Lonchura striata: one gene and its partners. The protein of the gene in region 4 interacts with the protein of the main gene of each other region in a biochemical or structural test. Links are inferred from orthologs where the notes say so. Each region holds a gene or a part of one and is shown on either strand. Other genes may lie near its edges.

Region 1 (8,298 bases), on a different chromosome or scaffold from region 4:
GCAGCCCTGCAGGAGTGAGCAGCAGATGAAGGGTTAAGCTTTCCTTGTGCTGTTGCTCTCTCCAGCCCTGAAAGCTGTGATCTTTGGCTGCTTTAGCTGCCACCATGGTCAAACACAGTCTGCTTCTCACTGCAGACAAGGCTGGACACAATCCTGACTAATCCCAGCGAAGATTTGCAGAGGTCTTAGATCCTCCTGACATCTGGGCAAAGACATCTGGGCGCTGCCTGCAAAACAGAGCTTGGAGCTAAGGTTCAGCAGGGGTGTTTCTGCTGGACAGATGGAGGAGTAAGTGGGAGAGAGAGAGAAGAAAAAGCAGCCTACAGATAAACAACGAAGTCTTTTTAAAGTTTTTATAGACAATGTAAACCTGAGCTAAGCACATGTGGTCGTACCAGCCTGCCCTTTTCCTCCAGGACCTTGGGGACTTCAAATGAAACAGCAAGTCACAGAGTTCAAAAGAAACAAGGTGTTGCACTTTTCCTGTGAAGTACAGAGTAAATCTGCAAAAATCCTTCCTGCAGAATGCTGCAAGTGCCAGAAGTTTAAAAAACCAAACAGCTGAATTTATGAAAGGAGAATCGAGTGAACAAAATTAAAGACAAAAGTACTGGCACCGCCTCAAGATTTATTCAGACATGGATCAGAGTGGGCTATAACACATTTTGGGGAAGGGTCACTGTTCTTGCATAATTTCCTGGCTCTACAACCAGCTGCCACCAGAAACATGGGCTGGAGTGCTGCTGTCTGGCCATTCCCACATCCCACAGGTTGTGAAGCTTGTGCCTTCACTCTGAGACCAGAGTAATGCAGCTGTGCCTGCTCTGCACACCTGCTGCTCTGTGCACCTGCCCATACTCATAATGACTTACAATCAGATGTTTACCCTTATACACGAGTTTCAGCTCAAGGATGAATTCAGGAGAGTCTGGGCAAGCTTTAGTGTATGCAAGGACAGAGAAGCACAGGTGAGCCTGTGCTTCCCAAACACAGGCAAGCACCGTGAGACCTTCCCCGAGAAATGTCTGAGAGAAGGAAACCAGGCTGCTCAACCTGCAAGTCCTGGCAAGTGTTAAAGCTTGTTTTTGCCAGAAAAGGAAACAGGTATCGTTTACTACCCACAGAGCTGAGATCTCTGCTGAGTACAGCTCTGACTCACACCCCCTAAGGGAGAACATGACCAAGGTGTTGAGCATTTGGCCGGTGCAGGCAGGGCTGTGGCACACAAGGGCAATCTCTCTGAACAATTAGAGGAGTCTCTCTACCTGCAGACAGAAATAACCCAGTTTGATTTCAGGGATTGTCTGTACACACGCCTCTTCTCACTTGGTCATGCTATTGTAAAGGACAAAAATTCAACTTGCATGTTTACTTTAAGAGCAGGACAATCACTAAACACTGTCACTAAGGGAGTACCTTTAGCCTAAAGAATACAGAGGAGATTGCAACATCTTGGATAAACTCAGGTCTTTCAGCCAAGATTAATGGTCTGAAGGAATGGCATTTCCCAAAATCAGGTATAAAAACTAGGTGAAAATAGAGTGAAAAGTCTGTGGGATTTCCAATGGAAAAAAACCCAAAAGAATCTCAGGAAGAGAAGGAAAGACAGCGATTATGAATAAAAAGAAGTTTTATTTTGCCCATTGAGACAGAGTCAAAAATCATCCAAGAAAAGAAATCAGATTTTCATGACTCAAATAAAGGAAGGAAGTTCAGAAGAGGAGCCTAGGTTCTCTCAGGGATACTGTAAAATCCTCTGCAAATTCCAGAGCACTGAGAACATTGATGACTGATGAAGGGGAAAAGTGGAGTTTCAGTGTTTATCTTGCTATGTAAATTCCTTGTGATGATTCCACAGAAATAGTTTCTGGGTTTTGAAATCTTTCATGAAACATGAATAGAAAGTATCAACCTTAAATTGTCCCTAGAAAGCAAAATACAAATTGGGTGTTCATGAGGCTGGCATTGTGCATGAGGGGACTGCGTAAACTCTGTGTACAGATTGTCAGGGATGTTCAGTGGTCAAAAAAGCACTGACAACTTGTGCTGCAGCCCATGAGGGCTGTAGAAGGTCTGAGAGCACATGGACATGTGTCCTGATTGCCTTTCAATGGCTTTGTTTGACCCAAGGCCACTCTGTCACCCAGTAGCACTGCCCAGTGCAGCACCATAAGGGACAGAGGAGCAATGGGATGGCTGCACAGCCCCTCAGGAGCACAGCATCCATCTCCAGGCAGGTGTAGGCTGCAATTCCACAGTAATCCTCACAGAATATTGCTGTCTCCAGTTTCAGTTCCATGTCCTTCTGGAAGGGGAAGACTCTGAGCACAAACGCTGTCCTACGTATGAGCAAGCAGTCAGACTCACACTGCAGACAGCTTTGGCACAAACCATCCCCAGAATGCCACCAGGATAAATTCTAAGATAAATCCTAAGCCAAATTTTCCCAAGGACACAGTGGCCATGAATTTCAGTCCATCCAAGAGCTAGCAGCATGGTCAGGGTGCAGCAACATGCATCACATGTTGGTTGCATGCATTTCCCCAAGATCAGTCTTGATGTGCCTCCCAGTGCCAGTGCAATCAGATCATTGGTACCCAGGACTCCTCCCTGTACTTTCCTAGAAGGTTCAGTATAAAGTCCAAGACCTTCCCATACAGAATGGTTCTGTTCCCCCTCCTGGCTGCTCAGAGCCTGCAGACAAAAGAATCTAAACCTTCTAAAAGTGTCTCGGTAACTTTTAACCCTGTCCAGAGCTGACCTTGCACCTTGCAGGAGTCAGTGAGGAGCTGCCCAATCTGTCCGGGTAGGGGCTGGCAGGAGGGCTGGGAAAGGGATGAGTTCAGTGCTCTGAAGCACCAGGAACACTGCACATTCCTTTGGAATGGACACTGTTGGACTGAAACAATTACGTAGATGCCAATGGTCAAATCCAGACACTCCTAACTCCGCTCTCCTCAGGTCCACATGAGTTTCTGCCCTGCCTCTTTACCAGGCAAGGAATGGTTCCTGCCAGGAATCAGCTCCAACAGCCAGCACCATGCTGGTTTCCCTGCTCCCTGTATCAGAGTTCTTCATGAATACACAGATAAACTAAGCTACTTTGTTATTTCTGCATTGCCAAAGAAAACTTTGTTGCTTTCTTCTTCTTCACTCCCAGAAGTATAAAACTGTGGTCCACAGAGACACAGGAAAACACCATTTATTCATGTGCAGAATCACAGTTCCTTAATCCTTCAAAAGTCAAAAAAAAAATATAAAAATAAAGACATAATTGGAAAAGTTTGCTACCAGGCAACTGGGGTGGATTTTATCACACCAGCATTGCTGCCTGGACACGGAGACCTGCAGCCACAAGTGTTTTCAGAGCAAACCAGCCTTGCTTTGTCTCTGGCCGGTGGAGCAAGATTGCAGTGGCTTTTCTCCCCTTTGACCCCCCTGACATTGCACAGGACAGGTCAGGTAATCACGAGTCTGTTTGTTTGTCCGTTTGCAAATCTCAGGAAGCAGCTCCAGCAAAATCTCCTAAGTCATCAGAATGCAGCAAAGCACGGTGTCAAAACAATGCAACCCCATCCCTACCTCCAGCAGGACCTTTATCGGGAATTATCACCTGTTTATCTCAGAGTTTGGGATTACAGCAGGTCCAGGCTGAAGGACCCCTCCATCCAGCCTGTGGTGAGGGCGGGCAGCACCACCCAGCCCACGCTGTGACCTCTGAAGGAGACATCATTTCCTCACTTTGCTTGCTATGAGTCCAGATGCGTCAATATTCAAATATTCGTGCAGGAGAAAGGGGAACTACAGTAACTGGGCAAACACACACCCAAGACAGAGGACACTCCTTCCTGGTCTGTAATCCCCTGGTTCAATAAGCCTTATTGAGCCGGCAAATCACTGAAGTGAAATTTCTCCCAGTAATGCAGAGGTGTACTGTCCTTATTAAAATGGTAGGTTCAAAAGTTTGGATTTGTTCGTGGATGATGAGTGTTTGCACAGCTGCCTCTCTGAAAGCCCTTCAAAATCAGAGCACTCATAATTCCCGTGGCTGCTCTACCTCCTGCTCTGTAGCTGGTTATCCCACGTGTGCTGCTTGTCCAGGAGGCAGGCAGCGAATCTGCCGGGGGAAATGCCCCCCTGCCTTGCCCGCGGCACGGAGCGGGGCTGGGGAAGGGGGTCACACAGAGCAGGGACAGGTGGAACCGGCACGGCCCTGTCCCCACTCCCCTGCCCGCTGTGCTGGCGCCGGGAGAGACGGAGAGCCAAGCTTGCAACGCCAGCCTGTGAAGGACAGCAGCGGGCTGCCAGTCCAAGGAAGGCGAGTGGGGCTCTCAGCTCGAGGAGGGGGCAACCAGGGCACCCTGTCGAGGTGCCAAAACACCCCGGGGTGCCAACGCAGCCCGCCCCGTGGGGGGACAGAAGGGATCATTGCTCCTTAGGGAGGGGCGGTGCGGGACGGCGAGGGAAGGAAGGAGGGAGGGAAGGAAAGAGGGAAGGAGGGAGGGAAAGAGGGAAGGAAGGAGGGAGGGAGGGAGGGAGGGAAAGAGGGAAGGAAGGAGGGAAGCAGGGAGGGAAGGAAGGAGGGAAGCAGGGAAGGAAGGAAGGAGGGAAGCAGGGAAGGAAGGAGGGAAGGAAGGAGGGAAGGAAGGAGGGGAGCAGGAAGGGAAGGAAGGAGGGAAGAAGGGTAGGAAGGAGGGAGAGAAGGAGGGAGGGAAGGAGGGGAGCAGGGAGGGAAGGAGGGAGGGAAGAAGGGTAGGAAGGAGGGAAGGAGGGGAGCAGGGAGGGAAGGAGGGTAGGAAGGAGGGAAGGAGGGAGGGAAGGAGGGTAGGAAGGAGAGCAGGGGTCGCTGCCGGGCGCGGCCGGGGCTGCGCGGCCCCCGCGGGGCGGGGCCGGGGCGCGGCCGGCAGGGGGCGCGCTCGGCGCGGGCTCAAGAGGCGCGCGGGGCGGCGCGCGGGCGGCAGAGCCGCGCGGGGCAGAGCGGCGCGCGCCCTCCCTCCCTCCCTCCGTGCCTCCCTCAGCGCCCCCGGCCGCAGCCATGGCCAGCGGAGGCCTGCAGCTCCTGGGCTTCGTCATGGCCTTCCTCGGCTGGATCGGCATCATCATCAGCACCGCCATGCCCCAGTGGAAGATGGCATCCTACGCGGGGGACAACATCGTCACGGCCCAGGCGCTCTACGAGGGGCTGTGGATGTCGTGCGCCATGCAGAGCACGGGGCAGATCCAGTGCAAGGTGTACGACTCGCTGCTCAAGCTGGAGGGTAAGCTGGGGCTGGGGGCGGTGAGGGTGCCGGGGTGTCCGTCCCGTCGGGGCCGTCCCCTCCGCCTCTCGCTCCGGCCGGGCGGAGGGCACTGCTCCCGCACGGCCACTGCCCCGCGCCGGGTCGGTCCCGTCCAAGTTCAGGATGAAATATTTGGACTGGGTTTGCCAGTCCTGTTGCACGTCCAGTGTCCTGTCGCCGTCGTCCGTGTGGTCTGCCCCGCCCGGGTGCCTGTCGCGCTGGGGATGCCGCTGCTGTCGGCTCTCACGGGCTCTGTCCCGCTGAATTTACTCAGCCTGCCCCTTCAGGGCTGAAGGTGCAGGGCTCGGGGTCCCCCATCTCTTGACTCCTCATCCTGTCGGGGTCGGGTGCGTGTCTCTTGGGGCTCCCCGCCGGAGCTCGGGTCGCTCCCCGCTGTCCTGCGGGGCGCCCTCGGCACAGCCGCCCCGGGAGGGGAGCGGGGCCGCTGCAGGGCACTGCCCGGGCAGGACCCGAGCTGCCCCGCATCGCCCTGCCCGCTGATTCTCTACGTGCGGTCCGGAAAGCGCCGTGTTTGCGAGAGCTTTTGGCTGTGGGGGTCCAGCCAGGGACTGGGCTGCCCAGCTGGGCACGGCTGAGCGGCAGCAGAGCTCAGCAGCCTGGCTGGCGTGGGCTTTTGGAGCACGGCTCCTGTTTGCCTTTGACTGTTTTGGTTTTTGTTCTCTGGGAAAGTCCTCCCGTGGGGCTTTTAAACTGAGGGCTCGCAGGTGAGCTGGCGTCCTGCCCAGGTAGCGCTGTCTGGAGTTTTTAGGCAGGCTGGTATGCCAAGATAATATTTGGGTCTTTTATCTTGTCATTCGGGTGCTCAAGCCGAGCTGGAGCCTCAGAGAGGGCACCCAAAGGGGTTAAAACAAATGTACTACTTTCTCAATACCCCTTGTCTCATCTCGAGTCCTGGTACACCCTCGTCCCTCCCTAATTAATAAAATAATAATTGCCACCTTGGTCACCTTCTCTTTCCCAAAAGAATGAGCAGGCAGTTTCACGTAAACCGAGGTCCGCGGGGAGTGTCCCCGAGTCCGGCTGCCACCAGCCCTTCCTGTGTGTCAGCGGTGAAGCCGGACCCACCTTCGCGGCCAGCCCAGTCCGTCGCTCCCGGTCCCTGCCCGAGCTCCGCAGCTGGCGGAGGTGCGGTCGCTCCCTCGGGGAGCGCTGCGCACCCGCTCGGCACTCGCGGGGTGCGGGGCTGCGCTGATCGGGGCAGTCCGGAGTGCTTGGGGTGCTAATTATGCGTCAGCTCAGCTTCAATCCTCTTATCTCCCACTGCGGGTGGGGGGCGAGGATGCCAGCAGTGGCTGAGGAATCTCCATCCACCCCCTGGATGGCTTGCGAAAGGTATCCTTGCCTCGGGGGTTGTGTGCAGCCCATTGTGCTGTAAATGGAGTCCGCCTTGAACAGGATCCCCAAAACCTGCCCCAGGCCCTCCTGACCTGGCCATTCATGGCCGAGGCCGAAACCAGCTGCTCCCCTCACCTTTGTCCTGCGAACAATACGGGCTCTTCTCTTCCAGGGCTACAGGGGAGGGAGGTGACAGGGACCCAGGCTGAGCTTGTGGTGGTGGCCTTTTCTGTTCTCGCCACCGAGCTCTGCAGAACAGTATGACTGAGAATTCTCAAATAACAGGGTATGTTTATCCTCACAGGGAAAATCGGTGAGGGCTGGCAAAAGGGCTCCTTGTTCTTGTGTTCCCTCAGCTTGCTTAGGCTGTGCCTTGCCCGCTTTTAGGCAGATCATGCCTGGGGACATACAGCTTATCTTTTGTTTTCCCTCCTGATGTCCCTCCTGCAGTTACATAGGCCTGGGTAGGGACCAGCAGTGTTGATTTGGGTGGAGGTGCCAAAAAAACCCCAAACCAAAAAAAAACCCCAAATCACTTATACCCAATTCAACAGCCAAACACTGGGACAGGTGCAGTGGAGAGCTCCCTTACTGTATTCATCCATGTCCTGGTGGAAGTGGCACAGCTGTGTGGGTAGAACTTCTGCCTAGCCATGCTTTCCTGCCAGGGCTTCATATGCCCCAGGTGCTCTGGGCCGCATGTCAGAGCCGTATGCACTGATGGGAAAGGCTCAGATCTGTAATTACTTTGTCCCTGTAGAAAGGACTGAGCCTTCTTGCACCTGCAGTAACTCGTGTTTGTGGGAATGCTGGAAGGCTCTGCCAGCAAGTTTTGGAACATCTGGTGGCTGTTGCCATTCCTCTGGATGTGTCAGTGTTTGGCTGCAAGGCAGAGATGGGGTTGGCATAAGCTGATGAGCACCATTAGCCAACCAAGAGGGCTCCAGCTTCCCATGTGGGCACCCTGCTGGAGTGCACCCGTGCTGGCACTCCTCCCGCAGCTGTGTTCAGCTGAGGGCTTATGTCACTGCTCCTATTCAGGCAACAGAAAGGCTGCGTTTTGCTGGCTTACGTGAAAAGCAGTGCGTGGCCACACGCAGACATAGAGGCAACAAATGCCACCCTTGCAACGAGGCTTTGTTGCACAGCCTCAGCATTGTTCTTGTGGCCCTCCAGCATGGTCCATGGAGCTTAGCCCAGCTTTGTGCTCCTCGGGGTCTCAGGGGGATGGTCTCAGACAGGAGGGAGTAGGGCTTCTGGTACCTGTCACTGAAAGTTTCCAGCCCCACCTAAACACATTCTCCTGTTCAGGAGAGATGTTGTTCTGGATCCTGTCTAGGCTGTTTTAGCAGAAGATACTCATCGACCTGTTTGATTTTGCTGGGAGAGGTTCTGTGCCTGAGACAAGCTGAGACTCATCTATCACTTCATCACCAAACCTAGTACATCCACAATGAGCCTTTGTGCCCTAGCCCGGAAAATAAACAAGGTTTTGAATGCCCTCTGGGTCAAGCAACATGGCTGAAATGTGAAGTCTTCCCTCCTATACCTTTACCACCCGGGCTGAGCCTGTCCAGGAGCTGGGGAAGAGAATGGGTGGGGGGGAGGAACAGTTCATGCTCAGGTTACTGATGCTCAGTTCTGGTGGTAGGGGAGTTAGGAT
Region 2 (7,812 bases), on a different chromosome or scaffold from region 4:
GCAGGCTCCGTACACGCAATGGGCCAAGCTCCTCACACACAGAGGGGCAGGCTCCGCACACGCAGCGGGCCAGGCTCCGCACACGCAGAGGGGCAGGCTCCTCACACGCAATGGGCCAGGCTCCGCACACGCAGAGCGGCAGGCTCCTCACACGCAATGGGCCAGGCTCCTCACACGCAGAGGGCCAGGCTCCGCACACGCAGAGCGGCAGGCTCCTCACACGCAATGGGCCAGGCTCCTCACACGCAATGGGCCAGGCTCCGCACACGCAGAGCGGCAGGCTCCTCACACGCAGAGGGGCTGGCTCCTCACACGCAATGGGCCAGGCTCCGCACACGCAGAGGGCCAGGCTCCTCACACGCAGAGGGCCAGGCTCCGCACACGCAGAGGGGCAGGCTCCTCACACGCAGAGGGCCAGGCTCCTCACACGCAGAGGGCCAGGCTCCGCACACGCAGAGGGCCAGGCTCCACACACGCGCTCCTGGAGCAGGGTCCCAGCCCATGGCAGCCCACCAGGAACGCTCCCTGCTCCCAGACCCTGCCCTGCTCTTCCACGCCATGAGCACCCAAAAACAAAAGAGCGCAGCTGCTCATCCGCATCACCTCCACGAAACCCACCCAGACTCACTGATGTGACTGAGCATGACAGAAAAGCAACTGAGAGCAACACAGACTATGGCCACTAACAGGCTCACTACTCTGCTTTTCCAGGCAAGTATCACAAGTTCTGCTTGCTTTTCTAGGGGGTTTTCCTGTACCACGTTACACTAAGTACTAAACCTGATACTAAGTATATTACCCTGGTACTAAACCAAACTAGTCTACTGTTAAGCTCACTGAACTCCCTGAACTCGCCACTACTTTCCTGCAGCAAATAACCAGATGTTGCAGGACTGGATTATTTTCAGCACCACAATTAAGAAAAAAAAAAAAACATAACAAAATTTCCCATAGATTCAGAACTGCTTTTGCTCTTCATCTGTACTAAATGTATTTAAACAATCTACATAAAGTGAAGCAGAAGTACATGAAGTACTTATTTATGTTTTCTGTTCATTTAAAATGCAGCTTTTCTCCAGAGTCTTTTCTCAGTGCATGTAGGTTTCCACACTAAACAGCAAACACACAGTACTAATTAAGATTACTATTATTTGTACATAGTATATGCTATCACCGAATATGAAAAATACCTCAAAATGCACTACAGACCCTGTTTTGCTATTGCAAGAAGCTTCTATAAAAAGGCAATGTATCCTACAACTTTCCTTGTTTACACTGTGTGACTGAATTTAACTGTTCTTTATAAAAGGATCCTGCATTACTATTGAAAAATGCAAACTCCAAAAGGCATTATCTTTTGACGATCTAAGAAAATTTAGAACTAATTATCTCCCCTCATAGAAGATGACTTGCACAAAACTTTGTCCAACTGTGTTTCAAAGCAGAACTTCTGGTATCAGTACCGCTATTTGTGCTGAATATCTGACAAGATGAAAGGGAAAAATAGTTTTTACTGGAAAGGAAAGGGGCTATCAGCTTTTCTACCTTAAATTAAAAATATTAATAGCATCTTATTTCAGCAGCAATAGAGAACTTCATAAGCAATTTCAACAGAAAAAGAAAGTTACTGCAACCTACCTTTCCGCAGTAAGGTTACATTTACTTACATATAACATTGTAATGTTTAACAGAAACATTACAGGATATAAATGCCAACAGAAAGCTTTTGCCCCCAACACACACTCCCTCCACTTTGAATACGATGAACATGACTGAATTACTGTCTCTTCATAAACTAAACAGGCACATTTAGTGGGTTCCCATATATATATCGCAATGAACAAACTATTTTATGTTGACCTCAGAAATACAGTTATTAGTTAAGGGGAAAACATTATCATCTTTGTCATCTCTTAATCACTAAACTCCAATTTATCAAAAATTGACAATGCTGAAAAAACTGAAAAGCCAGTTCATGCAACACTAGTGCTCTCAATCCAACCACACCTCTTCCTTCAAACAGTCGAATCTGGAAGCAATGACTAATGTAAAATTAACAGGGAGCGGGAGGCTGTTTAGGGGAAAAAAAGTACAAAGGTCTATGGGGCAAACAGAGGCACTTCAGAAACACTCAGTTGTCTGCTTGTGAACACTGGCGATGTCTCCTGAGCGTCAGCCGGGAGGAGAAATGGACTAGAGGGGGCTTGAGTCATCAGCTCCAGTTTTTCTGTGTTGAAACAGCCTGGGTTCAGCATCAGCATTTATTTTATTGCGGCAAGACTTCATTTCCCAGCTCTCCCAGCCCAAGCCACGGCACTAGCACTCGGTAACCGGCACCTGCAGAGCACTTTCTGCTCCCGCACACACTGCAGCGCGCCCGAGGCACGGCCAGCCGGCGGCACGGCCACCTGTCCCCGCGGGCCACGGCTGTCCCCCCGCACCCACACCCCGCACGGGCTGCTCCGCGACCACCCCGCGTGTGTGACCGGAGACGGGGGAGAAAACACCGCAAGAAGTTCCTACAGCCTCGAGAGCCGCGCTCCCGGTGCGCGGGCCGAGGATGCTCCGTGGCTCCCGGCAGCGGGAGCGCGGCTTGTTCTGCGGTCACACGAAGGGTGAAAAATTCAGATTTAAGTCCCGGGCAGGGAACACAGGGACGGCAGGGGGGTCAGGCACCCCCGGGAACACCAGGGCAGCAGCCGGAGCCGGGGACTCCGGGGAGCACCGGCGCGGACGCCGGGCCCCGTGGCCGCCCCGTACGAGCACACCGGGAGCGCAGGGCCCGGCGCTGCCGGCTGCCCGCGCCCGCTCCGCCGACCCCGCCATCCCCTGCAGCACCCGCCGTGTCCCCGCCCGGCCCCGCGCCCGGGGCCGTGCGGCGCTGCGGGCACGGCGAGGCCCGGCGGCCCTGCCCGCTGCGGCTCCGCTGGGCTCGAAGCTCCGGGCGCGGCGCCGCGCACACCTCGCGCACACGGCGGGCACCGGCGGGCCCGGGCTCCGCGCTCCCGCCCGGCGCCCGGGGCAGGGCGGTGGCACCTCCGCCCGCGGGGCCCCCTCCGGGCGGCTCCACCGGGCTCCGGGCGGCCCCGCGGGCGCGGAGAGCGCGCGGCGCGCCGCCCGCGGGTCCGCCCGAGACGACGGCTCTTCGGCCCCGATGCCCCGGCGGGGTCCGCCGCCTCGCCTGCCTCGCCTCCCGCGCCGCGCCCCGCCGCCCCTCGCCTGTCCCGCGCGGCGGCCCCGGCCCGCGGCCTCCCCGTGCCCGCACTCACCGCGCGGAGCGGCCCCGCGGCCCCGCCGGGCGCGCCCGCCCTACCCCGGGGTCTCCATGGTGGCGGCCCCGCCGCCCGCTCCGCCCGCCCCGCCCCGCCCGCGCAACGCGTCACGCTCTGCCCGGCCCGGCGGCCGCCCCCATTGGCCAGGCGCGGCCCGGGGGGGCGCCCCATTGGCTGCTGCTCCGCGTTAAACCCGCCAATGGTGGCGCGACTTGAGGTTGCCGTGGTTACCGATGCCGTGAGGGGGAGACGGCGCGGACGGGCCGGGACGGACCCGGGCCGGGACAGACCCGGGCCGGCTCCGCCAGGACTGCCCGTGGCCCCACCGCCGTGAGCCCTCGCGGTGAGTGTCCGAGCGATGGATGGACGGATGGGTGGATGGATGGATGGAGCACAACCGGTGCAGGGTGCCCGTGATGGCCGGGCGTGCCTGTCCCGCGCTGCCGGCCGCCTCCTGTCCCGCCGAAGGAGGAGCGCAGAGAAGAGCAGCCGGAGTTCCGGGGGCTTTGCCGGGCCCGTCTGCCCGTCACCCTGTGTCACCGGGATGGCCCTTCTTGGACAGGGAGCTTGGACTGGCCGGCCGCTCGTGGTCCCGTCCCGCCTGCCGCTCCTGTGACCGGCGTCGCGGTACCGGCAGAACGCACAGCCCGCGGCGCTGCTCGAACACCTGGGCTAACTCCAGGTGTTTGGGGACGATGGGGAAACGCTTTCCATAGTGTTTTAATTTCCCACCATTTTAAGCTTCCAATAGCAGCCGAACTCTCTTGATGGCGTGTGAGGAATCATAGACGTCGAAAAGAAAAGCCAGTATCCCTAAAATCGCCGTAAAACATTTCAATAACAAGCTTTGGGCATGTTAAATGCTTGATCAATTTTTTGCATCCCATACCTGACCTAGACTTACCATCTCGGTGTGTCTCGGGAATCTGACTGGGGCCATTCCTCTCCTTCCAGCCTCCCGAGCAGATCGCCCCGGTGTAGCCCAGGTGTGACTGGTTTTCCATTTACTTATTCTCTCCTCCCACCCTCCAGCCCTGCAGGTACGATAGCGATCGACACTCTCCACTTCATGGGACGGTGTTGTAAATGGCTCAGAGGAGCCAAAAGCAAACGGCCACTTGAATCAGCAGCTCTTGCTGGCTCTAGAGGTTGTTTTATTCACCCTCTTCCCCTGTTGTATAGATGCAGATGGTGTAGAAATCCTGCTGTGAAGGAACGTGAAAAAGGTATCCACATGTAACTTGTGTCTGTTTTCCATCCAGCTCAGTTTTTCGGTTTACTGTTTGGTGGGGTGAACCACAGTTTTATTTTAGGCGTGAGGACACATGAACTCGTGTTGTGGTTTAATTGGTGCTGTGCTGATGCTGCAGTTAGAATTATGTCCTTGTTAGCCTCTGCTTAGGAGGGAACTGCAGGTAACAAGGAGGAGGTAGCTGAACATGAGAGTCACCTCTAAACTCGTCTGCCCCTTCTCTTAATTTCCCACTTGGGATGTAATATACTACATGGAAACTATTGGTAAGATATTTAATCTCTGAGGTTTTTGTTGCTATTTGTATAATTATTTATCTGTTGAATAATGCAATAGGAACTCCTACATTATGATGATATCCACATAGTAAACACTTGACAGCTGTAGCCAGGAGTCTTGAGTCCTCACTGCTCTGAAAAATCTCATGGTTTATACCATGTGAACTGCATATAAAATATGACGAAACTAAAATGGTGGTCTCTGTCTAGGAAATGGGAAACAGGAGCTGAGGGAAATAACAGTAGAAACTTAGTAAAATAGAGTAGCAGTTGTGAAATAAAATAAGTGGTGGAAGGGTCAAATGAGAGTGGAGAGCTGGAGTAAAGAAAAGATAAAATGTGAGTTAACTTGATCATGAATAAAGGGAAGAGAAAGCATAGGATGTGTGAGAGCTGTGACCTTCCTTAGCTGTAAGGTTGCTTCTACCAAAGGTGTACTGGATTAGTTAAATTGGCTTCAAATCAGTCTCAACTGGTTTTCACATGTAATTTGGGTATTATTATGCTGGCTTGGCTTTCACAGGTAACAGCTTTTGGGAAAGGAGGAAGCTTACTTGCCCCTCAGCAAGTGAAACTGTTCCTGGGCATCGCTGTGGGCAGGATGCAGGAGGTGGCACAATGCCATCCCCAGGCCTTCCTGGTTCTGGTGGCTCCAGGTGACCAGGAACAGGCTGCTCCAGGTGCCCTGCATCCCTGCGCAGCCATGCATTGCAGGCTCTGGCTGTGCTTTAGAGTTCCCCATTGGGGTGAGCTGGAAAAGGGTAAGAAATGCTGTTGGGAAGGAGAAAGGGATCTTGAGTCAGTTTGTTTTGGCACAAGAGAAGTAGAAAGAATTGAAAGTAATGTTTTGAGGTCCTGTCAGATTTGGAAATATGCTGAATGACTGTCAGTGAGGAAAAGCTGTTTCATTCTGTCTGGTATTAGTCATAGCCTCCTAGCTGGTTTGTTTTGGCACCCTGAGCAGCCAATACATTATCTAATTGACTGCCGTGTGTCCCAGTGCAGCAGTCCTGTCCAACAAGGATGACATAGGCTATGGAAAGGCACCCCATTTTAACTGTCCAGTTAAATGTCTAGCAAAGGGCTGCCTGGATGGTGATTCTTTGATTCCTTATCCATTAGCTGAAAGTGACCTTTGTCAAATATATGTTTAAATTCTTACATAATTTTTTAAATCGGCAACAAACAAGTCAATTTTATTTCTTTTCATCTTCTTCTGGATGCAACTTGCAAGTAAGATGGTCTGTATCATTCTCATTTAGAAAGCCATCATTCCACTATGTTTACAATTCATAGCAACCTAGTCTCATACTTTCCTTTGGGACTGTATGGTTTCTCTTGAGCCTTAAATCTGACCCTTTAAACTGACTGTGCTCATCTTCCTGTGGTTTAGATGGCAATGCTGTTAACAGATACTTGCTAGCTGTTTTTGCTGCTGTTGTGCTTCTTCAGTGTTTCCAGTCATTAATATGTTTTTCTGCTTTGTTTAATCTAGTCTGAAATCAATCCATAACAGAGTCTTGCTTTTTATATATATTCCACAGATGCTTACAGCCCTTGCAGAACATTGACATGTCTATCTTTTAATTTTAGTGATAAATATCAGTCACAAAAACAGTTTGCTATTTTTCTTGGTGGGTGTTGTGTTTTGTTTTTCTCATTTATTCTACTTTTTGTTTTGTTGTTGTGAATTTGGTTGGTTTGGTTTTGGGGGGTTATTTGGGGGAGGCTGAGGGCTGTGGTTTGGTTTCTGCTGGAAGCTATTTAATGCTACCTGCTTTAACTTTAATCTCTTCCAGATACTGAAATTATGAAGGTTTGGGAAAAAAAAAATACCTGGCGACAAGAGTGATGCTCATGGCAGGCTAACACAACACATGAGCAGCTGTTTAGTGCTCATATGGGGAGTTACTTAGATATGTGGGATTTTTGCATCTTATTAAAACCTACAATTTGATTTCAAAAAAGTTACTGCAAGCCATCGTGTTGATGTCACAGCAATACAATTGATTTTGGGTAATTTTGAAACTGTAGTTTCATTTGGTATAGAAAGCACTAAATGTTTTCCTGCTTTTTATTGTTTAACTGGGGAGGTAAGGCACCTAGCAGGTGTATTTCTGGGTTAAGGGGTGGGCTGGCATTTTGCTTTTTCAGTGAGGGCTTGTGGTAAGCACATTATAAACTTACCACAAGGCTTTTATAGAAACATTCTGTTTCAGACAGTGCCATTCAAAATTACTGCTCTGCTGTGGATAGATATTACTCTTTCCCTGTGGTAAAACAAAATATTGAGGAAAAATTATTGGATACTGGCCGGTTGTTTGCACTTTCTTTTCTTCTTGCATGGCTCTGAAGCATCAAGTAGGAGTATCTGATTGTAGATGGTGCACAATGCTCAGCTTGACCACCGGCCTTCCTTGTAGAGCCTCGTGCTCAGGCTCATGCCCAGCTGCCAAGGGAAGGACAATAATGCCCGTTATGATACTTCTCTCCAGCTTTCCAGTGCCAGCACCAGGATCCTGCAACAGTGCAGGGAGCTGCGTTATGGAATGGATCCAGCTTCCCCAGAAGCCTCCCTGGCACACTTGCCCTTATTTTTCAGCTGGATCCATTTTCCGGAGCACACCGTTGCTGCCCATAGTGCCTGGACCAAGGAATGTGCAAGCAGCCATGTGCAGCAGGAGTGCAGGCTCCTCTTTTGGCAGGAGTGGGAAAGGTTTTGCCCTGGATACATGTTTCAGCAGGATGGAAGAGGCTTGAGGAACAGCAGCTTGCTGACCTGCAGTGTAGCTCAGGGACCTTTCCTTGGCAATTGCACAAATCCTATCCCAGGATACTGTTTCAGCTGGCAGCATGGTCCCAGGAGTGAAGGTGCTGTGTGTGGGGCAGCAGGAGAAGGGATGTCCTTAAGTGAGCTGTGCTGCTGAAGCCAGCTAATGATGAAATCGGGTTTCATCAGGTGTCCACCTGTAAGTCAGGGTTCCTCCAGGATCCTGCAGCACCAGGAAAT
Region 3 (7,326 bases), on a different chromosome or scaffold from region 4:
AGGCATAATTTTTCCAAAAGTGACATTCTTACGTGAGAGCCTTCCATCTGATCAAGGTAGAAGCTATTTCTACAAAGACATTCTACCACTCTTCAGCAGAGCACTTCAGTCTCTCTCTCAAAGTATCAATACTAGTTCCTGCAACCTTCTTTTTCAAGATAACCCTGAATTTAAGAAGCCATTAAAACCTGCAATCAACATTCCCAGCAGCTAGATTTCAAAAATGTTACAGCTTCAGTTCTTAATCCCTTATGTCAGGACAAATGAGAAATTCTAATATTAAAATCCACATAAGCTACTGTTAAAAAAGTTAGAGTTATTTCTTTTTGTCCTTTAACCCTTTTGCACTTTTTAATATTACAGCTGTGCCTGCCACCAATCCAGAAAAAAACACCACCATTCCTACTCGCACTAGTTCCACAAGCCTACCAGCTGTAAAACCCATAAAAGAGAGTTAACACACAAACAGGAAGTTCTATTCAGTAAAACAGGAATCATCCCACTCAGATCTAAATTACGCAGACTTCCAGGCGTTCCTTTCGTGCAACCCATGGGACAACTGGGGTTACTTCAGTTTAAGAATGATCTCTTAGCGTTTAGCATAAACTCCTTCCAATTTGACTTCAAATGGTCACATGTGGTAAAGGCATAGCTGCAACTCATCACCCTGGTGTCCTTCCTACGCTGGCTGGGTTGCCCACTATGACCCATGGAGATTTTACTACCTTCTAGCTCCTCAGCATCACCCCTAAGCCATGAGTATACTGAAAAAAGACCATGCAGTCTTCCCAGATGTGTTCAAGGTGGCCCTACTGAGATGCACTGTCTCCATCCTCCCACATTCAGAAGCTCTGAAAAATTTTTTCAAAACTTCATAAGCAAGAAATCAAGCCCATGTGCCCACAGAGCTGAGAGAAGCATCAACATTTACTACTGCAATCCTCTCTCCAACAGCAGTTTGAAGAATGGCCATCGCTGGGGTGCATTTCTACTCTCTTCAGAGAGCAGGAAATTTTAAGCTGTTGTTGCTATTCCATATCCAAACAGCCATGAAGTGGGAAAACTCTACAATCAAAAAAACCCTTCAGTTTCTCCCTGTTTTCAGTTTTAAGACCAGGGAGATGAGTGAGCAAAAATAAGCTCTACAAAGACCAATGTTCTTTGCCTTGCTTCACATCTTTTCTAAAAGTAGAGAAATGTCTTACAGCTGGAAGAATTGGAATGTCCTTTGGAACAACAGAGAAAGCTAATAACCTGGACATAACTTTACAGGAAGACCTGGCATAACACAGAACAGAATAAAATGCACACATCTCTCTTCATACTTTTCACATCTTCAAATACAAAAAAAAACCCCAAAATCTCTGAAATCCAATGTATCAGTTATTTACTTCCTTTTAAAAAGCTGCTCCTGAACTCCTCCTTGCTCTACCTCTCACCAGTCAGGCACTATTCACCAATTTTTCCCAATATTTGGTATCCATAACATCTAATTAATGACACTCTAGAGCTCTGCTTAAAAAAACAACAAAAAACCCCAAACAAATAAACAAACCTACCAAACCAAAAATTAAACCAAAAAACGTCCCACACTCTAACTCTTCTTGTGCTGCTCAGAAATACAGCAGCATTATATTTGCAAAAACATAGAAAAATCTTCCTTTCAACACATTAATACAGACAGATGTCATAAGATCCAAAATAAAAAGCCATGCTTTCCAACCTACAAGAAAAGGTTTTTTCCAAGCTTCAGATTTTAATCAAAGCCTGGTCAGAGCTCCATTCCAAACAGCCCAATTTTCTTTTTGAGTCAAAACCAACTTCCAACTAGTACTTTAACAAAAAAATGTACCAGTGAAAGCCTCACCACAGGAATCTTTAGCCCACTCTGTTTAAACAGCCCCAGCTGGTAACTTCAAGTCAGCAGCACACACAAAATTAACAGGATGCCTTTCGTGTTGCTCTGTGATTATTTCTGTGCATCTCCGATCTAGTGTCAATGTTTCTTCTAATCAACATAGCTCCCATCATTCAGTCATTTAGAAAGGAACTGTGACAGAGTGAAAACTTCACAAGACCACAGAAATTTCCTGAAGAACACCACATTACCTGCCAGATGAACTCAGAACCAGTTTTTGGAAAATAACAGTGAAAATACCCTCCCCTTGCCGGACTCAGTGTAACTGCATAGTTTTAAAAGCTGCAATGCAAGACATGTATGTAACTTGCTTTCCAAAAAAACAGCATTGTGTTGTTTTAAAGGATCCAATTTTATACATTTAAGACGTATTTGGATTTATTTGTATTGCACTCTGGGAGTAAGAAGTTCATGTTGCCAAAGAGTATAAATTTACTCCAATGTATAATTCAGGATCAAACTCTATCAGAAAATCAGAAATGTTAGACTACATCAAAAGTCTGAAGTTAAAAATGTAACTCTGAAAACCAGGTCACTTTCACTCAAGTCCAAGAGCTTTCCAGCCACTGCAGCAAAGACTTCAGCACGCCTGGCACAGAGCAGGCAGGTTTATCCCAATCACCAATACCTGCACATCTACAGCTACTGCTTCTCCTCAGCAAGCACTGCTGGGCCTTCTCTGCCCTTGAAAATGGCAACGACAGCTCTGTTACCGTTCTTCCTGGAAGGCAATGCAGGTAAGTAGTGGCCTACTAAATATATGGTTAATAGTAAAATAAGTTTTATTTTGATAATGATTACTTTTATCTTCCAAAAATCTCTGTAGTTAAAGCAAAAACCAGAACATAATAGAAACCTGATAGCCAGCTAAATAATATTTTCACAAATTCAATAATTTTTTTTTTTCAAAAGACATACATAATAAAAATTCTATTGCCCATAATACATAACCAGTGTTGAGTTTTTTTGTAACACAACAAATAAGCAGTTTAAAGTGCATTTCTGTGGTCGGGAGGCCTGGCTCCAGGCTGGGTAGGAGCTGGCAGCACAGCACACACAGCCTGCTCTCAGTGTCTCTAGGGCAACAAGCACAACCAACTGCTCTCCCCCTGCTGCCTGCTGGACATGCAGCAATAAATGCACTGGAGCCACCTTCCAGGCAGGTGCAGACCTGCAGCTCCTGCTCCCCAGGCAGCAGCTGGGGCAGCAGACAAGAAGATGCCCCTGGGATGGGCACTGCTGCACCAGAGGATGGACAGTCCTGGGTTTGCAGTGCCCAACTCACCTGGGGTATAAAACATTGCAATAATATTCATACCTGACTCTTTCTTGGTCCCCTTGCCACCCTCTCGGCTCTTTTTTAGAACGGCCTTTAACATTTTAAATGTTGCTCCTGGAGAGTAACAGAGAGAAAGAAAAATAAATGCAATGTCCATTCACACAAGTCAAAATAAAGAACAGGATCAATACAAAAAAAACGAGGTAATTATGAGAGACCTTTTGGTAGTCACATTTATTTCTTACAGTGTCACTTGGTTGAACAAAGTAGTGAAACACAAGAAACGCTTCAATACTTGAACTAAGCAACTAAGAGTTTGCTGTCTTCTGATACAGAAAAATAATGCAGCATTCTCCACATTCCACATCCACTTGCAGTTACAGGGCTAAACCTGAGTAAGCTGCGGTAGGACACTCCAGCAAAATAAACTAAAATCAAGCTCTAACTTCTGACTGGAGTTCAGCAGCCTGACTGGCAGTAACGGGAGCAGGCTGACATCAGCTGGGAATGCCAACTGCAAGACTGTACAGCAGGGATAACAGCAGGACAGGGTACCACCCCCACCTGTGCCCACACACAGCACACAAGGGAACTGAGGAACAAACTCCTCCATCCCCACAACGCTTTCTGCCTGCCACATGGCACTCTTAACAGTCAACCTCAAGTGAGCAACAGCTGCAGATTTCAGAGAAGTAAGAAGTATAAGAAAAATGTATTTGGGCTGATAAACCTGAAAAACAGTTCTTTCACAGAAGTAACTCCAGTTACAGAGCAAGGAAAACAGAATGGAAGGAATTATGAAGATCACTTCTTTCTCAAAATGCTTTCTGGGAGCATCTGAGAATTGTGATTTCATTTGTTTTCTCTATTGAAAAAATCAAAAGGTATCTCATTTAGAGAAAACTTTCAGTACGGAATGTGCAACAAGAAGGGGGGGAAAAAAGTAACCTGACTATGCTGTCTTATGTAACTGACTGCCATGAACACCACATGAAATCAAAAGGAAAAGCAAAAATCTTCCATCCAAAAACTGTGGATTCCTCAGAAATTTCTCTTCATTTGATGAAATAAAACAGAGAAAGAGAAACCAGTACAATAGAATTGTTCAGCTCCTATGAATAACCTGAAGCATACGGAACTAACAACGCCCAGAAGCCTGGAAGGTTTCCAGGGCCCGGCTTGCTCTCCACCAGCTTCGCACAGGTAACAGCCGGGCACACACGGGCTGTCCCCATGCAGGCAGGGCCACCCACGGGCACAGACACCTCCATCCCGCACGCTGCCAGGGCCAGCAGGCTCTGCAACATCTCCAGCTGCTTTTCCCCAAGGATGGGAATTCATCAGCCCTCTCCAATTTCAGCATCAAGAAAATTGAAAAAGCTCACAAACACACGCCCAAAACTGGATCATCTAAACAAAAAATGAAATACACTAAAAGGAAATAATTTTTGATTACTAATTGGATACAAAGCAAAATAAATGTATCAAAATAACCATACAAAAACCAACTGCCATGTTAGAAAGCCTGCATTATGCAACGGTAGGACCTAAAAGTGTTAATGAATTTCAGAATCTAAGAAAGGTATTTCAGATACATAGCTAGAATAGAGTGGCAGGGGGAAGAAAAAAAAAAGGAAGACCTGAAAAGTCACATATTATATTTAACTTTCTTATTTTGCAAATCAGGAGTGAATTTTCTATTAACCAGGACAGACAGGCTCCATATAGAACTGAAACTCTACAGTATATGTCATTCCTATTCTTAGAATATAGATAAGGGTTAATGAGAGACCAAATAAAAGGAATCAAGGACAATTCCATCCCAGATTTTCTCTTTTTTGGAATTGAGGCCAATTTCCCTACTGTGCAGAGTTCTCCACTGATCTAACACAGAACACAACTGGCATGCAAGATGGTTGCTTATTCAGACCACATTCAGTGTGGATATGAAAAGTGCCTACTACCTGGAAATAAAGCCCACTTCCTTCCTTTTCCCCTATAAAAGGAAATGCCAAAATAAAGATAAGTACCTCCAAAGCAACTCACCTTTTGCTGTGTGAGTTATGCACACAGAGAGAGCTAACCCTAAGGGCTGCAACAGCAAAGCAATAGCAGCTCTTTGTTTGCAAGTTGAAAGGTATAAAAAAAATAAAAAAAAAATAAACTATCTTCTGAAGTAATGCTAAAACCACCACCTGGGGTCCAGTAAAACATCATTTGCATTCCAGAGCATGCAGGTGAACACAGAGAATGAACCAATGATTACAGCTTAGAAATACTTTAGTGTTACTTAAAAAAAAAAAAAAAATATATATATATATACCAAAGTTATTTGTGCCTACTGCGATGCTTATTGACATACATCCAAAAGCATTTCAGTTTCAGTATTTCTTCATACCCATAGTTCACACCTCAATAACACCAATTAAAGTGAACTGCAATAGTGTGCATTTATAATTTCTCATCCCTTGAATCAGGCACAAGATAGTAAATCTTGTTCTGTTTTAAAGATAACTGTATTAATAGGATATTTTACAGTAATGCTGGCACACTGTCTTTCTAAGCATATTGCACTTTCTCTCCCCTCACAGCTAAGATGAAGTAGAAAAACTCCCTGACTCAGACTTCAGGAGCCCTTTCAGCTACTCCAATTGCTTCACTTTGGTAAACAACTGCAGTTCATGTTTTCTTAATTCCAATATTTAAATTCTGCCATGAAGCCACTTTTTTGGTGTTTGTTGGGTTTTTTTAATAATTTTAAAACTATAATTCCCATTTTAAAATGGGTATTAGATGTGGACTTGTTATCCCAGAGTGCTAATAATAATGTCCCAACAGAACTCCTCTGCTTGTTGAAGACCCTGTCAGCTGCTGACAAAGGCGGACTCCCAGCTTTGTCCAGACCATTTTCAAATGGATGCTGTGCTCCCACCAGTTCAACTGTTTTCTTTAGATGCAGAAGACATTCCATACATGCTTCCTGCTCAGAGCATGAAGGGAAAGGGCAGAAAGTCCCTTGATTTGAGAATTTATAATGATCAGCTTCTTTATGAACAACTCCAAAACACTGTCAGCTTGGTAAAACACAAATTTTAGGTAATGAAAAAGTCAGGACCACAGGCACACAAAACAGTTCATGTATCAACCTTTATAAGTACTTCATTACCTGAGGAATCCCTCCTCTGAAAAGCAGAGATGGAAAAATCTCTCCACATTTTCACTCTGCCTGCAAACCTCTCCTTAAAACTCAGCAACTTTCTTGCATGGGAATGTGTTCCATGTAAAACTACCACTGAAGACAACAACATCAGGAACAAGATGATTCACAGCTCTTGTACCTCCCTCACCTTTTGGAGAGGGTTATTTTCAAAGATCTACCAACAGGAGCTCATCACAACTGCAGAGGTCAAATAAACTAATCCCACATGGCAGGTAAGCACCTGAGCTAATGCCCATGAACTCCTGACATTTACACTCCTTACAGTACTACCCACAGCTGTGTTCAAGCTTCCAGATCTAGATCCTGAAAACCAGTCAGCATTCATTTGCAAAGAAATACAGGGTAGAACACCTTAGTCTACTGTCTGCACAGAAGTACTTAAGTATTTGCCACCTTTCAGTGTGGAATTTATTAAACACATACTTCCAAATAATCTGTATTTTTTTAAAGTGTATTTTGCATTTTTGAATCCAAAGATTCAAAAATTTGAATCCCAAAATCCTAAGCATTGAAAGAAAACTTCAATTCGTCAGAACCGCTTTCACTGCCTACAAACACATTCAGAGTGTTGTTCTATGTGTCACACAGAAAAGTTCCAACATTTCCCTTTTCTGGCAAATTTAAAGCCCAGATTTCAAACAAGAGGAATATACAGCAAAATGCAATACTTAAAGGAGCAAAGTATTACTGATGCAACAAATCAAGACAGTAAGTAAAAATTACTACATTTTGGGCCATCAATATCTAGCATTTTGTAATAAACAGAGTATGTATCCCCGGATATGGGACTACTAATTCATGAATTAACAGACATTGTAAGAGAATAGTAGTTTTACTTTTAAGGTACAATTTCCAGTGAGATATATGCGTTATGATGATTCAAATGCATGAGCAAAAATGATAAAGCAT
Region 4 (7,338 bases):
ACCTTGGAGATGTGCGGTGTATCAGTGTTCAGGTACTCACAGAAGTATGCAATTTTTTTCCTTCTTTCAAGTGCCTGGGGCAGTCAGTGTGTGCTCAACAGCATTTTTGTAAATCCTGCAGCATTGCACAGAGCAGAGGTGGTTTCAGAGGAAGGATGTGTATGTGCTATGCTTGGTCTGACTGAATTTTTCTCTAAAATTCAGTAAAATTCAGTAAAACTGAGCAAAACACGTATTAGAATAGTGTTTTTTACACTGTGGAGTCACTTGATGGTGTGTAAACAATAAAATTTTGGATATCTGAAGTTCAGCTGATGGCATGTTAGGACAATTTAGGATTAAGATCACACTAACAAATGCTGGTTTCCCCTGCTTTTGCTTTTATCAACTTTTAAACTGAAATTTTCCAAGTCAGAGGTCTCTGTGATGTGGAGGATGACATGCACTGTATTAGTCACTCATGATAACAGGGCCAGGAAAAATTCCAACTGCATTAGTGCAGAAAGGTGACTTTGGATCGGGATGAGCCCTTTGGCTGCTGAGGCTGGTTGTGTTAGAAGCCTTTGAGAAATAGCAGCAGTTAGTTAGGATTTTTGTGGGTTTTAATATCCCCAAAGGTTCCAGCCAGGCTGAGGGGGGAAGAACATCCCATAAGGCTGGACTTTTCCTGGAGGGATGCAGGAAAGGGTTGTTGGAGGCCAGGCTGAAGGACGTGGGGCAGAGGTGGTTGTGGATGGGTGGGGAAAACAGGCAGAAGAATCTCTGCTGGCTGAACCTCCAGCAGCAAAGCCCTTTGTGGAGTTTCCAGCATCCAGCAGCCCTTTGTGGAGGGTAGGTGTTTGTCAAGGCTGCTGGTGGGATGTTGGGATCTGGGATGTGCCAGGGCTGAGCGCTCCGTGTCCCCGTGCAAGTGACAGGGGGGTGATGGCAATGGAAGACTTAAACCTTTCAGCTCTTCTGATGACCCTCTGCTGGCACCAGCATGAAGGAATTCCTTTTTCCTTGTGCTGCTTTTGAAGAAGATCCAAGTCTTGGGTGGGATTTCATACAAAACCTTCGGAAGCTTTCCCACTCCCTCAGATGCGTTGAGTTCAGCTCTCAGAAGTGAAGACAGTGGAACCCCAGATGGATGCTGTCCTGGGGTTACAAAACACTCAACCTCCTGAAATACATCATTTTCTCGATGATTTTGTGGTTATGTTGGAAATTGTGACATAGATGTTGAACTGAGGTTTCCAGTAAGATAAATAAGCCTCCATAGGAGTTGGAGACTGGAGCTGGGAAGTGGAGTGCATGAACTGATTTTAACAGGACAAACCAAAGTGTTTTGGATCTTTCTTCAAAATTAACATCTAGGAATAGACTTTCTAATATATCAACTGTTTGCTGACACTCTGCCTGGACTTAGAGTGTGTTTGCAAAGTGTTTAATGATAAATTGTTTGGGCTCTTAAACATAGAGATCAATAATACATCGAGTTATGAGTTTCTCTGGTGCCCAAAAGCAGGTCTTAGAGATCTGTCCTCAATTATCCATTACTTGAAAACTCTAAATTAGCTTGTATTTTCAGGGATCCCTTCACACCAGAAGGAGCTGTTTGTTTTAATTCCCGCCCCCCAATCTATTATGGAAGAAAGGAGAATAAAGAAATACTGAGTATGGTTTTAGCACATTGCACAAAACAAACAAACAAACAAACAAAAAAAAAAACCTAAAAAAAATTGCAATCTGTCTGGAGGGCAGCTCTGATCACGAGGAACCCCAAAGTGCTGTGTAAACTTAACCTGTTATTCAACACCTGAGATCCACTTGGGCATCCACTGGCACAAGTGGCTCTTAGGGACACTTGGAGCAGCTCAAGCAAGAAGCTGAAACTTTGATTAAATTTTTTTTTCCTCCTGTTTTGTACCTCCTTCTCTGGGGAACTTCAGCTTCGATGGAGCCAAGATCTCTTACCTATAATTCTTCTCCTAAAATTTAAATCTCAAATTTTCTCGGGTATTGGATAATTGCTGTTGTTACACCCTCAGCAAAGGAAAAAAGATGAATTTTGGGGATTGTTAGCTCAACATGTGGATTGGGGATGGGCTCAGAGCTGACTGGCACAACGCTCACGCCACCAAAACATGAAGGATTCTTTCTGAGTGTTTAACTCCCTGTTCCAGCTCGCTATAGGATCAGCTGGATGGAAAGTGAAAAGGGAAGAATAAATGCATGAAAGAGGCCTGGGGAGCTGGACCAGCCTCTTTGCTTTGGCTCTTGGGTGGGCATGTTGCTGTCAGGTCGTCGTTATTTCCTGCCATGCTGGCTTTCTTCTCTGGGTTTAATCTTTTCCTCTCCCTACTGCTGGTTTAAAGGTGTTTCAAGCCACTTTTCCTCACTGGAGTTATTTTCCATCCCTTTCTCCTTTTGGTTCGCTCACTTTCCTCTTTTAACTGCTGATGAGAGGTAGAAAAACAGAGGAGGAAAGTGAATGGAGGGAAGCTAAACTGGGAAGAAAGAATATGGAAATTTGTTCTTTGTCCTGATTTGTTAAGGTTCGTGCCATATTTTCAGTTGAGGAGGTTAAGTTTTGTCTTCTGGGTTTAACGAAGGCTCAGGAGTGTGTAAGGAAATGATGTTTTCATCTGCTCTTCAGAATCAGCTCTCAGCACAGAATCAAAGGCTGCTGTGCTCTTTAGAAGTGTTTTACTTCGAATGGAAAAGAAAATAAAGCTGCAGCACTTCCAAAAGTGCAGATGCATTCCTGAAAATCTTTCAGGGGGGTTGTATGGCTTTGCTGCTTCAACTCTTGCTATGAGTTTGATATAAAATGACCTCCTAAATCTCCTAGGAGTCTTGCAAAGAGACTCATTCTGCCTGGCCCTGGAAACCACACAAACCCACTGAGCTCTGCAGGAATTCCTGCAGGAGCCAAAGCTGCTGGGATATGCACAGGAAAGGGTGCATAAATCTGAAATTGTGGTTTGTGACACTCCTCCATCCACTTCTTTTTTCCAATTAGGTAAACCAACTTAACCTGACTCTGCAGAAGAAGGAAAGCTACTCACCTGCATCATTAATATTTTGGTAAATATAACAGTGTCCTCCCAGAATTCCAGATGTTTTCAGTGTGAGCAGAGGCAGGGCTGAAAGGATCAGAGGTCCTGCTGGGAGAGAGCCCCTGGAATGTGCTTACCCTGGTGTCACGTTCACCACATGACCCTCGCTCCTCTTGAACTGCAAGACTAAAAAATAAATAAAAAGCTTTTATATAGAGAGAGGGATATGGCAAGTCTTGTTCCAAAATAATTCCAAATATATTATTCTGGAATTACACACTTATATACTGGATAGAATTAAAATTATGTAAATTGTGCTGTTAAATGGCTGACTTTTTTCAGAGGAGCTTGTACTAAGTGAAGGAAACTTGTTTGGTAGAGCTGCCTTGATAGATTTCAGAATGACAGGCTCCACATCAACTTAATAACATGAAAACAAGGGTACAAATTAATCATCTCTGCTAATTGCAAGTCTGTTGTTTTTATACTGCCATCTAGGCCTCGGCCCCTGTTGGAGACCTGTTCTGTTTGGCACTGTGGAGGAGCCTGATAAAGGATATTCCGCTCCTTAAAAGCTTAATAAAGGATATTTTGCTGTTCATGTATGTAGAAAAGAGAAAGGCAAACACCTGCAGGAGGCTTCCTTCACCTGTTGTAAATCAGGCTGTGGTTAGAACAGACCTTCCTCAGGAATGTGTTGGAACAGGGATTCATATGCCAAATTTTGGGCTTTAACTCTGTGCTGTCCCATGAGTGAACTTCACTGTTTTATGGGGAAACAGAGTTTCACCTATATTGCCATCCAGCTGGGCTGAACTATCAGGAATACTGTCTACAAATGATCAGGTGGAAAGTATCTTTAAATAATAGGTAGATTTCAGCTCTGTGTACATCTATGAAGATCCCAACTTTAATGTCAATATTCAAAATAATTTGGTTGAACATATCTGTCTCAGTTTTTCTTTTCAGTTTTTTCTCATAGCTTGCATTTTTATTCATATTTGGAATATCTGTTCATATTCCTTCCTGTGTGTGAAAGGAAAAGCACATGGAACAAGATAAAATTTTAGGATGTGCTGAGGCTATGTCGAGAGCTTTTTTAAATATTTGGGGTATTAAACACATAATACAGGGTATTAATATTAAATATATTTATACAGGTATATAACAGGGGTAGTAGTATTTTTTTATTAAATTTGTTGTAGTTAGCTTAGTATTCTTGCATTTATCAAATGTTACTCTTTAGTAACATAGTAACATAAATGATAGCTCTGTTTAGATCTATCATTAATTAATTTGATTTTCTTTTTTTTTTTAAAACTCAGGTTATTCTGATCAATTTCCAAAAAAAACCCTCAACATGCCCGAAAATCCAGCAGCAGGTACGTGGTCTGAAAATGATTCTTTGAATCATTTGAATGAGGAAAGAAGCTCCATTGCTAACCTGGACCCGTTTGTGGTGCAGATAAGCAGCAGGTGCTGCAGATCCTGGATCGGCTGCAGGCAAAGCTGCAGGAGAAAAGGGATTCCCAACACCAGGAAAACCTGACTGTCCTAAGGAACACCCTCAGGAGCCCCTTGTTCAACCAGATCCTGACTCTGCAGCAATCCATCAAGCAGCTGAAGGAGCAAGTGAGTGTAAAATTCCTGCTGTTGGTGTGGTGCTAACTCTGGGCGAGTGGAGCTTGGATCTGGATGTGTAGGCGTGTGTTAACGAGGGCGCTCTCGTTAATCAGTTCTAACGTGGTGTTAGTGAGTGTTGGGCCTTTTTTTCCTTCTGTGGTGTCTGCAGAGGCACTGCTGAAAAGAGAAGTGGTTCTGCAACCAAGAGGTCGTGGGGCAACGTGCTCTGAAAGGGATGCAGCACAGGCAGGGTTGTGTTGGAAAAGAACATCTGCAGAAGACATCAGCTCCGGTGTTTGGAGTCCTGAACAGTGCTGGAACTGGGATCCTTTGTTTTTCACCGAAGCTAAGTGCTGTTTATCAGCTCACTGGCAGCATTTTTTCCTCCCTAAAAGACAGCATCACTTAGTTCCTTCTAATTTTTACAAGAATGCTTAACCTGCTTTTGGCAAGTGAAGTGTAGAAAACCCAGCCTGAAGATTTGCCAAGCTCTGATGCAGCTGTACCCAAGCGAGTTTTAAAATGACTTGGCTTCAGCAGAGCTTGGAACTTCCGTGCTTTGGTTTATGAAGCCAAGTGACACTTGATTTTGTGGACATGGGCATGGACAGGTGCCACCCTGCAGCTGAGTTTCAGCAAACTGAAAACCAAGGAGTGACCAGCAGGGTGGGTGTCAGGGGGACAAGGCTGCCCCTTGCCAGGTGTATTGCAGGTGTTCCTGCCTGGCTGGCCTGGTGGTGGCTGTGCCATTCATTATCCCTCCTTCCCAAGCTCCACAGGTGCTGCATCCCTTCCTTCCAAGGCTTGGATGCATGTCTGCAGTCTGTTAGAAAAATGTATGAAAATGCAAATGTATCTAAGAAGTGACTGTGACATAGTGGGGTTTGTGTTTGGAATGTTCAGAATTCTCATATCTAGAAAATTTAGACTTTCTTGAAATTCTGTTTAAGCATGGGCAGCTTCTTTCAGGGTAGGATTTTCTAGTTTATTTTATCACACTGGGAATATTTTTCATTTCTTCATTATCAGTGAGGACTAGAAGTGCAAGTTCCAGCAGAGATAACATGTTCAGTGATAGTTTGTACCCTAGGCTCTCTTTGGGGACAGGATAATACAAACCAGGCCTCAGGCTCCTGAATGACTCAAAATATTTGAACTTTTGTACCAAAATTCTGTGTAGGTTTCCCTAAGAGTTGCAGCAGTGCTCTTTAGTGTTTGGTGCTTTTGCATGTGTTGTTTCTGGAATACCAGGGGGAAAAGAGGATAAGGGGCACGGGCAGGGGAGAAGCATGAAAGAAACAGAGGAAAATAAGTGGAGTAGAAACACAGCTGAATTATTGAAAGAACTCCTGAAAAACAGTTTAAATTTGATGTGGTAGCTTGGTTATAGATTATATATTAACGCTGCCTGACTTATACAGGTGAGTATATTTGTGTGAACTGGCATATGTGAACACAGTTTTTTTGCTCCTTTGGCAGCCTGCATATAAAATGGTATTTGTGGAAAACCCTTCTTTTGTTTTCAGTAGCTTTTCCACACCTTTGTTCATTTCCAACAGCTCAATTACATGCCTCCGGACCGCTCGGTGGATTTTGATTTTACCAAGAGGGGGCTGTTGGTGTTTGCTGACAAATCAGTCACTGCTGGGACACCTTGCTCTTCACCTGGACCCAGAGCATCAGCCTTCACTCCAAACCTGGCAGTTAATGAATTTAACATGATCATCCAGCAAATGGCAAAGGTAAGGCTCCAAGGTGTAGTGAACCAAACTGTTTTTCATTTTGGAGCATTTCACGCTGCTTTTTTTGCTGTGTGTCTGGAAGCGTGGTGCCTCCTAGCCAGGAGAGTAGAACTGTTGAGAACTTTTCCCTCTGGAAGATAATGTCAGCAATAGGAAGTGGCTTGGTGGCTTGTTTTGTTTCTTTAGCTTCCATTGCCAATTTTCTGTTTTACTTTCTACCAAACACACCAATGTAGTAAGGAAATTTCAGCTGCCAGAAAACATTTTTGGTATTTGATGACACTTAATTGAAAACGGACCTTTTCAGCAGAAAGTTGTTTTGATGGAAGCACTTGTTTATCAAGTACATTTTAAATTGGAAATGCACCAACTTTATGAACAGTGCAAAGCATTAAAAAAAAAAAAACTAGCATGCAATATTTTATTTAACTCTTTATTTAGTATTTCTTAACTTTGCCAGGCAGATGCAGATGTACCAGATTCCCTAAGAATTTGTACAGGTGCAGACATCTACCCGTGTGGGATTGGCATTTATACCACAAATGTATTGTTCTGTGTTATTTTGAACCATTAATTTAATTGCTTAGTCATGCCTTTCTATATTAAGTAACTGTTGCTAATTGACTACCTTAATGTAGCTGTAATATTTTGAGCATTACTTTTCTCATTAGTGTGTCATTAACTCATCAGAGATAAGATCTAGCAGTAAAGGCTGCACGTTATTTGGAATAAAAGAGCTGTGATAGCAGTGCATTTTCCCAGTAATATTTCCCAGTAAACAACCCCAGCAATTTTGTATTAGAACTGAAAAACAGGCAGTTGCAAAAGCAAACTTTTTTTAGCATTAAGTGTGAAGCTGCAGGGAGGGGGAGGAAATTAACTTCTTTATTTAAAAGCTGCAGCCTTTTGAATGCACACCTAAAAACCAGCAT

Evidence for each region.
Region 1: the proteins of PATJ (region 4) and CLDN1 form a complex in vitro, tested with the Homo sapiens proteins (2 studies listed by BioGRID and IntAct, with this or other methods). The link is inferred for Lonchura striata from reciprocal best matches to the Homo sapiens genes PATJ and CLDN1.
Region 2: the proteins of PATJ (region 4) and PKP4 interact in a test that uses a peptide from one of them, tested with the Homo sapiens proteins (2 studies listed by IntAct, with this or other methods). The link is inferred for Lonchura striata from reciprocal best matches to the Homo sapiens genes PATJ and PKP4.
Region 3: the proteins of PATJ (region 4) and TANC1 interact in a test that uses a peptide from one of them, tested with the Homo sapiens proteins (2 studies listed by IntAct, with this or other methods). The link is inferred for Lonchura striata from reciprocal best matches to the Homo sapiens genes PATJ and TANC1.

Annotation. Positions count from the first base shown.
Region 1 is NC_134612.1:16,566,488-16,574,785, forward strand, and holds the start of CLDN1 (claudin-1), read left to right. Parts: upstream 1-4,944; 5' UTR 4,945-5,035; coding exon 5,036-5,258; intron 5,259-8,298.
Region 2 is NC_134610.1:626,882-634,693, forward strand, and holds the start of PKP4 (plakophilin-4), read right to left. Parts: upstream 3,355-7,812; 5' UTR 3,270-3,354; intron 1-3,269. UniProt on the Homo sapiens protein: Plays a role as a regulator of Rho activity during cytokinesis. May play a role in junctional plaques.
Region 3 is NC_134610.1:523,200-530,525, forward strand, and holds the start of TANC1 (protein TANC1), read right to left. Parts: upstream 3,355-7,326; coding exon 3,237-3,354; intron 1-3,236. UniProt on the Homo sapiens protein: May be a scaffold component in the postsynaptic density.
Region 4 is NC_134611.1:6,614,996-6,622,333, reverse strand, and holds the start of PATJ (inaD-like protein), read left to right. Parts: upstream 1-4,197; 5' UTR 4,198-4,401; coding exon 4,402-4,423; intron 4,424-4,506; coding exon 4,507-4,673; intron 4,674-6,223; coding exon 6,224-6,406; intron 6,407-7,338.